Linked DNA regions of Danio rerio. The main gene of each other region encodes a partner of the protein of the gene in region 2 in a complex. Links are inferred from orthologs where the notes say so. Each region holds a gene or a part of one and is shown on either strand. Other genes may lie near its edges. The genes, in order: mettl14 and zc3h13.

Region 1 (4,843 bases), about 12 Mb from region 2:
ACAGGAAAGCATCATTATGAATAAGTGAGATTACAATGTTGTGCTTTGCCTATGACTCTATATATTATAGACAATAACTTTTACCTTAGTTCTCTGGAACACTGCTTTAGGGTCCAGTGTTTTGGTTTTGCCAGGGTTGTTTTTGTTGGTCTTGATCCAACATATGTCCTCACATCGCCTGAAGCCCCATTTTCTCAGACACTGAGAGAGAAAGAAGAATGAAAGATGTTTAAATATGTTTGAATAAAGAATATTTGGCAATGATGTAAAAGCAGCATATTTGTATGTGGGCAGGTTATTATGTGTACATCATATTTGAGATAAGTTTAGGTTTATGCACATGGAACAGAAATCTGCCATGTCAAGTTTGTATATTTGTGAGATTTGTACCATTCGGCCAAGATCAAGGCCTTCTCCTGAGCCACACCACAAGAATACAAAAGAGCGAATGGATGAGATTTCCTCTATGTTCAGCTTCATGATCTAAAGCACACATGAATACAAAAATAAGTTATTATATATGTTAGGACATCTTACATTATTATATTATATGAGCATAAAATATATAATAACTGTTATCTAAATGGATAGTTCATCTAAAAATGAAAATTCTCACCATTTAGTCAGACTCAAATGGTTGTAAATTGTTATCAATGTCTTTCTTCTGTTGAACATAAAACTAGATAATCTGAAGAATGTTGGAAAATGCAGCCACTTACATCCATATTAGGAACAACAAAAACAACTAAAACAAACAAACAAAAAAACTATGAAAGTCAACGGCTGTTTTCCCCCAGCATTCCTCACTATATCTGCTTTTGTGTTTAACAGAAGAAATGAACTCAAACAGCTTTGGGACAAGTGGGGATGATAGAATTTTCATTTTTGAGTGTAGTCAAGTATATCTCTAATGTGTATTATAATACATAATTGAAATCAATTTTAAAAACATTCTCATGAGGTTGATTTTGAGAATTTGCAGTAACTCACATCGTCCCAGTTCCAAAAGCGCTCATTGGCAATGATGCCTGACTCTCTGTAATATTCCTCTAATGGAGGCTCTATCAGAATCACATCAAACTTGCACTTCAACTCTCTCAGATCAAACGTGTCTGGATCTGCCTGGAGATACCTGAAACGCACACAAACGCAAGAGTTATTACATTCATAAAAGCATTGAAAAAGACCCAATTGTCCCATAGTTAAATGCTTCTAATTATTATAAAAAATAACTGATTTTATTTGCTTAGCAACCTCAAAATCACTTTTGTTTTTAGTACGTTCAAATAAAATTCTAGAATCTAAATAAAACCCAGTGTTTTATACACAAATGTGAATAATTTTCAGGTTTCAAAAACTGCAAATGGGCACCACTGGCCGGTATGGGCCCTATGACATAGACTGAGACCAAGTTTTCTTACATGGGGGGAGTGTTGGTGGCAGAGATGAGTTCATCTTTCAGTCGAATGAGCTCTCTTTGTTTGGGGTATTCCTCAAACCTGTCAGCCAAACCTACAGCACATGAGAACACACAGGTTAACACACTCTCAAAGTGGAAAACTAAAAAGAAAAAGTAGAAAAACACTTTACCTCCATCTCGGATAAAGTTCTGAGGTCTATGACCTGTGTCCACAAAGTGCTGGCAATAATCATTGTGAGGATTTAAACTCTGAGTGCCCTGTGAAACAAGTAATGATATAATAAAAACATTACTTATGTTATTTTAGTAATATTTAGAGTGACTTTGCATAGACATAAACTATGCAACTGAAAAAGGAACCAGAAGAAATAAATCCCCTATGACATCTTATACTGATACATAATACAAAGGAATACAAAGGAAAGAATGCAGAAAGCAGAAAAAGCCAACAGGTAAATGAGACTATCTCTAGCTTTCTGTATGTATATACTGTATGTAACACTTGTTTCCCAAAAAAGCTCCAATAACTAAAACTGTTCCTAGTCCTTGCATTACAAACATGTCAAAAGCGAGAATTTCCTACATTAGTTCTAAGAACTATGAAACATACCTTAATTGCAAAACCCAATGCAGTTTACGTTTACTGTAAGGGACAGTTTTTCTGATGGAATGAAAGAATTTAAAGATCGTACTTTTCAAAAATTACCATGTTTTTGCCTTTAATGACAGTATATAGTGGTAACCGTTTTGTGAATATATGTCTGAGTATCCTCACAAAAATATCATAGCTTCTCATACCCGATTGCTCAATTAAATCATATACAATTGTGTTTAAAGATACCTTTAGAAATGTGCTGGAGTCCTTGTACACCTCTTCATATGGTCCACTCTCTTCCTGATGTTGAGGCTCAACATCTTCCTACACCATACAGCAGATTCAAAATCAGTTACACATAGCTCTGACCTGATCAAATGTAAGGGCTTTTCTGAATTAACAGCCGATTCCTGATCAGCGCTCTCTCACCTTTTGCTCTTCCACATCTTCCTCTGGATCTTCACCCTCATTCAGACACTTCCTTTTAGCACCAGGAACTGATATGTCAAATGATGCCCTACAGTAAACAAACCAAATGGTAACTGACCTCAGCATCGTTCTGATTAATACTAACTTACAAGTAGCAGCATCACATACCCGTGCTGAATGTAAAGGTTGTCCTATCAGTACAGTTTTAGCTCTTTTGGGGTATATAGGTCTTAGTGTTCTTTATTTTTTAGTGCTGCACATAGTCCTTGAATTTAACAAATGGTTTATACCTGCAGGTCTCTCTAGTCTCTTCAATCTCTTTTTGTTCATCTTTACTGTTGAGAACTGCGCCGATGCTGTCGGGACTCTCTGCTCCGAGCTGTAAAACAAATCATTAATGTCATAAAACATTCGCAATGCTTCTACGTTCATTGGCGTTAGTAATATAACACCGCGTTAATATGGCAGTGTTTGCTAAAACTGGCTTTCTGCAGGAAGAAATAAAGTTGTGTATTCGTACCTGTTGTGCGAGAAGCTGACGTCTGAGCTTCTGCCTTTCCCGTATTTCTTGCAAGCGGCTGTTCATGTCGAAAATGTTTTGCAGGAAAATAGCTAATCGTGAAATGATCAGATGACAACAATAGTGCGGCAAAAATCCATTGAAACCCTCAACGTGAGAAACCGTCGCATGTATTTTACATCATCACAATGCTTGACGCATACGGTGACGTCAGTAGACGGCCTCTTACTTTTATTTGGAGTAAAAACAACTAGCGTAAACAAAATGTAATAATGATTATCTTTGAATGATTTGACTGTCAGTGTTCCTTCAGCCATTAGTTTTTGGAGATCACAATTTCAAGACGTAAACTCGAACCAGACTTTTAAGATCTCCAGACGTTTTTGTATAACTGAAAAATTAGAGAGGTAACTTAATATTTAAAATTGTTAATCGTTTTTATCATGTAAAACAGGTAATTGCACAATTTTGTAAAGGTGTTGACTTAAAATGTGTTTTCTGTAACGATTAAGAAGAGAGTATTGTTCATTTATTTTGATTGTATTTATACACTATTGTTTTGGTGTGATCTTTTTTTTTTTTGCGGAGTACGAGTATTGCATTGGAATTAAAAGAAATGATGTTTATTATGAGAATACAGCCGGCTTCAAAATTTGGTATAGTGTTTGCTCATTATATGTGGAATTTGTTTTATTCGTAAATGTAAATGGGCTGTGAAAAAAACCTAATTTTACTCATTTTAAAATAGAAATAGATCATGTACGATATAAAAACAAAAAATACTAAAACAAAAAGCAATGTTAATTATTTTAAAGCCTTAAATTTAGACTTTGAATAATTGTATTTTTTCTTTTCTTTTAATATTGTATTTGTTTTGATCTATCCTTGCTGACTGAAAGTAACTGAAACCGATTTTAAAAATATATTTTTAAATTAGCTATTATTCTATAATTAATAATGTTTATAATTTCATAAATGAAAAGCATTGATTCTGGTTGCATTTTACTGACACAAGAGGGCAGAAGTGAACTTTTGGCTGTTTGTCATTGTGATTAGTTCTGAAAGCTTGAGCCGAAATTTGTACACCGTGTTGTCTCGGAGAGACCAACAGTGATGACCAGACCAGACTAGACGCCAAATTACTGATATAACGTGGCAGACTCTCGTTTAAGTTCACTCTGTGGGAAGATCGGCGCGCGCAGCTCGGGCGCTATCGTGGAATGATTTATTTAGCAATTACTATTTGCCTCGTAGATTCTTTTTCTATTGTTCTGCAACTTGTCACTATTAAATGAAGGACACTATTGATTTTTACCATCAACTGTTCTCTTTTTAAACTTGAAATCCAGACTGGGCGACGATCATCAATATGCATGAGTCATAAGCTCCGGGCTTCCCCGGTTTCTCTTTTATTGATCCGCGTCTGCTGCTCTGATAACAGCCAAACGACAAGATGAGAAAACTCGGGTACCATGTCTTATCCACGCAGACTGGAGAGTAATTGTCGGGTGTTAGGGTGACAGTCACGGACAGGTTGATCGTGATGGATGTGAGGTGTCGGTTCGTCTTTACGGTCTGCGCGCTTCTGCTTATGATCGCGCGCACTGGCGGCTCTCCGTTCACTGACTGTGTTCAGAGCAAAGGGAAAGCGGGCTTTTACGAGGGGTCCATTGACGCAACCGAATCAGGCGTGAAGTGCATGAACTGGAGCGATGTGCCCGGTGTTAGAGAGCGGTATCAAGGTAAAGGGCTCGGAGATCACACTTTCTGCCGAAATCCGGACGGGAGAATTCGGCCCTGGTGCTTCTTCACGAACAACAGAGGACGCATTGACTGGGGATACTGCGACTGCAAGCAGGGTATGTATGTATACAAAGAA
Region 2 (4,189 bases):
CCAGAATCCGTACCTCTGCTGCATTACTGGCCGTGCTGGGCCCGAGTCTCTCAAACACACTGGGCCTGCGGGAGGGGGTGGTCGTGCTACTGCTGCTGTCCGATATGGTCTTCGAATTCTCCACTGTAACCTTCCGCCTGATCTTGGACATTCTGCAGGGCTGAATTAAAAATAAATAGAAATCACTTCAATTACAAAGCTGTGTTACAGTCAAGATCCCAGAGCCATAAAACTTTACATTTATATATATAAATTGTGGTTAAATTGTGGTTAAATTTAGCTTTTTTTTTTTTAATGATAACCTAACCTTAAAGGGAGTTGATGCCAACTCCAACATTTATACATATATAAACAACCTTATATACACCATATATTATACAATTGCAGGTTAACAGAATGTAATTTTAAGGCTTGGTTGTGTTTCTAAGATGCAAAGCAATGTGTGCTCATGTTTCACTTGAAGGAAATCATGCTATTTTTTCATAAATCTTTTTTTTTTTTGCTGCTACACGAGTTAGATGAGCTATCCTGTATTTTTTTCACTCAACGCGTTACACTGCGTCTTTCACATATATCCGGAATATGCCTGTGTAAGTAACATGAATCATCCACATATCTTTTGCGAGTCCATGATCTGAGATGTTAAACGCATGGAAAAGCTGTCTTAAGAGAATCAATGCAAAGTTGAGCACACACATAAAGAGACGCTGCACGTGCTGGTGAAGTGTGTGTGTGTGTGTGTGTGTGTGTTTACATCAGTTTGACTGATAAATATGAATATGTAGCTAAATCGTTTGCGGTGCAAAACAGCACTTCCCATTGTTTACATTGCTACTAAAGCATACTGTTAACGCTAGACACTGTACATGTCATGATCAATTTTAAAAAATAAAAACACAGCAGTGTGTGTGCGCGGTAAAAGTACCTTTGTGATCTCACAAGGGCCGGAAGTATTTTTTGTAGTCCCCAAAATTTGTTCCTTGTAGGCTTTGCTAAGCTAACTCTGTAAAAACCAAGGTCTCCCTTTGCATTGAACTTTGAGCTTTTTACATTCAGAGATGTTGTTTATGTTCACACAGCTACATTGCACACCAACTAAAGTTCAAAAAATGATATTGTAGTGAATCACCCCTTTAACCTTCCGTAAAACTGCTGTAGAATAAAAATGATTAGGGAAAGCACTATACAAAACTTTGTCAAATCAGCAAGACTAAGAAAATACACTATGCCACTGACAATGAGTATGTCTTCTAACACATTAAAATACTAAAACAGATCATTCAGAATTCAGAATTATGTTCTTTTCATTTATGCTTGTTGGAACTTTCCTCCAAAAGCTTTTGATGTTGAAAAGTTTGAAGTGACTTTTGTTGACATTTTCATAGTTAAAATTGTGGACAATTTTACTAGTGATATATTTGTGTCTGTGTTTGTGTATTAAATCATGGTACAAAAACCTGGTAATAAACCACCTGTACCTATTATGTTATTTTAAAGATTTAAATATCTCTGTATTATTTCTTAAACAATTTATTTTCTCAAACTACTAAAATGCCAATAAAAATCTCTTTGTTAATCTGCAGTGTTGAATTTACTTAATAAATAGAATACACAACCAGAAAATATGGCATATATTGTATATGGCATATCATGTGGCATATATTTGCTCAATTAACATACACTTGTAATCACATCTGTGCTAGAATTTAGCCTTCCAAGAATTAAAATCAAACCAGGCACTTCTGGTGTGAACATTTTTTTTCCCAAGAAACTTTGAACGAGTTAATCCTGACTGAAAAGGCCAGCTAACAATCTACCCTTCAAGTAAAATGAAAAGTATGATAAATTACAGGCTGACAAACTCAATTAACAACATATATACTTGTACATAGGTTGCTTGTTTGGAAAAAAGTGAGCTGATTTTAAAACATTGCCAAAACACTGGTTTAAAAACAAAATATATAACAGATATTTAATAATTTATAATGAGATGATAAACAATTATGTAGAAAAGGTTATTATTTACTCAACAGTTTGCATATAACTTAGTTGAAATATTTTCATCGTTCTAAATCCACATGCTGTTATTAGGGTTTAGTGTAATTAGCTTATTATTTTGGTTAGTTTCTAGCTAATAATGACTTAATGTTATGTCTAATTAATTATGTAATGTGGTCTCCAAATAACAGCTTGCGATGATTGTAACATTAGCTTGAAGGATGATTCTGTCTCTGATCATCAATGCAGGGCAATTTACTACATCCACACAAATTAACATTATAATTATTTAATTCTCGTGGCTTTTGTAGCTTGCAAAAAGCCATGAATGTTCCATTTATTTTACAGAGCCCCGAACACTGTAAACAACAGCACTGGCTGTAACGTAACGTACTACATTTAGTCGTATCTGCTTGACACTCTCCAACGCACATCAACGATATCGTAATTGAGACAATAACTATTTATGCACCATGCGAAGCTTAACACAAACACACAAAAAAGATAGTTAATATATGTGCGCGTTTTAAGCGGTCATTCATTTGCAGAATGAAGCTATACAACTGCATGACTGCAGCGCGGCCTACACTGTTAACACAAGCCTATATAACGATACAGCTAAAACGGACCCTTTAATGGCTCCATAAACAAATTCTAATTTACCCGAATATGATTGATGCGTCAAGTCCAGTTTCACAGACTATTGGGGATAACCTCCTAATCACATGCAAAAGTCTTGCAAAGCGGTCTTCCCCTTAGCCGCCGTCATGATGCTGGCAAGACAGCGCAAACTCTGCACACATTCAGCTTCCTGAAGCACAAAGAAGTGGATTGTGGGAAACTGGAGGTCTAATCCGAAGAATTGGTTTGCCTGAATGTAAAATAGTTATTTGGAGACAGAACACATAAACGCACACACAGGCTACATGGACATTATTTCCTGTTGTGTTTTAATGATAAAAGTATGTTCATTTAATTCTAAAATAAAAAAACAAAGAATTTAAAGAGTTTAAGCCACCTATAAAGTTACAAACAACAATGCGGACACGCATTATGATGAGTTGAGGCCAGTAGAGGCAGCATTTCACATTATATATATATATATATATATATATATATATATATATATATATATATATATATATATATATATATATATATATATATATATATATATATATATATATATATATATATATATTATATATTATTATTATTATTATTATGTTTTAATTATCATATTTTTTTTAAAGGCCAAATTGTGACTAAGGACAGTTGCATGTGCTGGCCAGTTTGTTTTTTGTCTAATAAATGACAGTAGGCTACAGTTTTTTTTTGTTTTTTTTTACTTTAAACCTTTAACAGATTGCTATTTTTCATATTGATATATGATGTCATAAATTTGTGTTTTAAAAATTTGTCTTGTTTATTTATTTTTACATTTTTTAGGAAATATTTTTAGTACACAATTAAAGTGTGGTTATGATGACATCTGACTAGTTAATCCAGCAACAAAAAAAAAATCACTAAAACGCAGTATTATTTTATTATTAATGTGTTTATTATTAAACACAGTATTAAGTAATCTTATAGTATTAATTAATTAATATTTTATCCATAACCCGCAGTAAATAAAAATAGTAGTTTATAGTTACATAAAAAGCAACAACATGCAAATAAAAAGACCTCTGCCTTTAATTTTTTATAGGATCGTGTATTCGATTTGTATGTATGTAGATTGACAACACAGACTGATTTTATAGCACCAGGTTAAATTTTCTGACTTCTTTATGGTAATCAAATACATTGAAAATAAATACAGGCCACAACTGAACATTGAGGATGATCTCCAAAATTAAACCAATAGACTTATGCTGAAAATACAGGTCCACAAGGCTCATTGAGGTGAGGTTAATATTGAATTGTATGTTATTAAATTAAATTAAATGAATAAAATTTAACCATTCTTAGCATGTAGTCCTGTATAAGACTGACATTTATTTCACAATGGTTTTAAAAAAGACTTAAAAAGTCATACATTTGAAATAGTGACTGACACCTGCAGAAACCATGGTTGTGATGTTCTATATAAATTTTTAGACATATTTGCTTTACAATACATGACTCTCTTCTTTTTTGTACTATCTTGGTTACATCAAAAATGAGTAGACTATAAAGTATTAATTATCAA

Evidence for each region.
Region 1: zc3h13 (region 2) and mettl14 share a complex: the UniProt entries of both Homo sapiens proteins name them as parts of the WMM complex. The link is inferred for Danio rerio from reciprocal best matches to the Homo sapiens genes ZC3H13 and METTL14.

Annotation. Positions count from the first base shown.
Region 1 is NC_133176.1:21,570,099-21,574,941, forward strand, and holds the start of mettl14 (N(6)-adenosine-methyltransferase non-catalytic subunit METTL14), read right to left. Parts: upstream 3,123-4,843; 5' UTR 3,031-3,122; coding exon 2,965-3,030; intron 2,824-2,964; coding exon 2,735-2,823; intron 2,533-2,734; coding exon 2,445-2,532; intron 2,340-2,444; coding exon 2,262-2,339; intron 1,679-2,261; coding exon 1,591-1,678; intron 1,513-1,590; coding exon 1,422-1,512; intron 1,133-1,421; coding exon 991-1,132; intron 484-990; coding exon 391-483; intron 202-390; coding exon 85-201; intron 1-84. Other genes in the region: prss12 (neurotrypsin), read left to right, coding at 4,508-4,823. UniProt on the Homo sapiens protein: The METTL3-METTL14 heterodimer forms a N6-methyltransferase complex that methylates adenosine residues at the N(6) position of some mRNAs and regulates the circadian clock, differentiation of embryonic stem cells and cortical neurogenesis.
Region 2 is NC_133176.1:33,353,836-33,358,024, reverse strand, and holds the start of zc3h13 (zinc finger CCCH domain-containing protein 13), read right to left. Parts: upstream 2,801-4,189; 5' UTR 2,662-2,800; intron 161-2,661; 5' UTR 152-160; coding exon 14-151; intron 1-13. UniProt on the Homo sapiens protein: Associated component of the WMM complex, a complex that mediates N6-methyladenosine (m6A) methylation of RNAs, a modification that plays a role in the efficiency of mRNA splicing and RNA processing.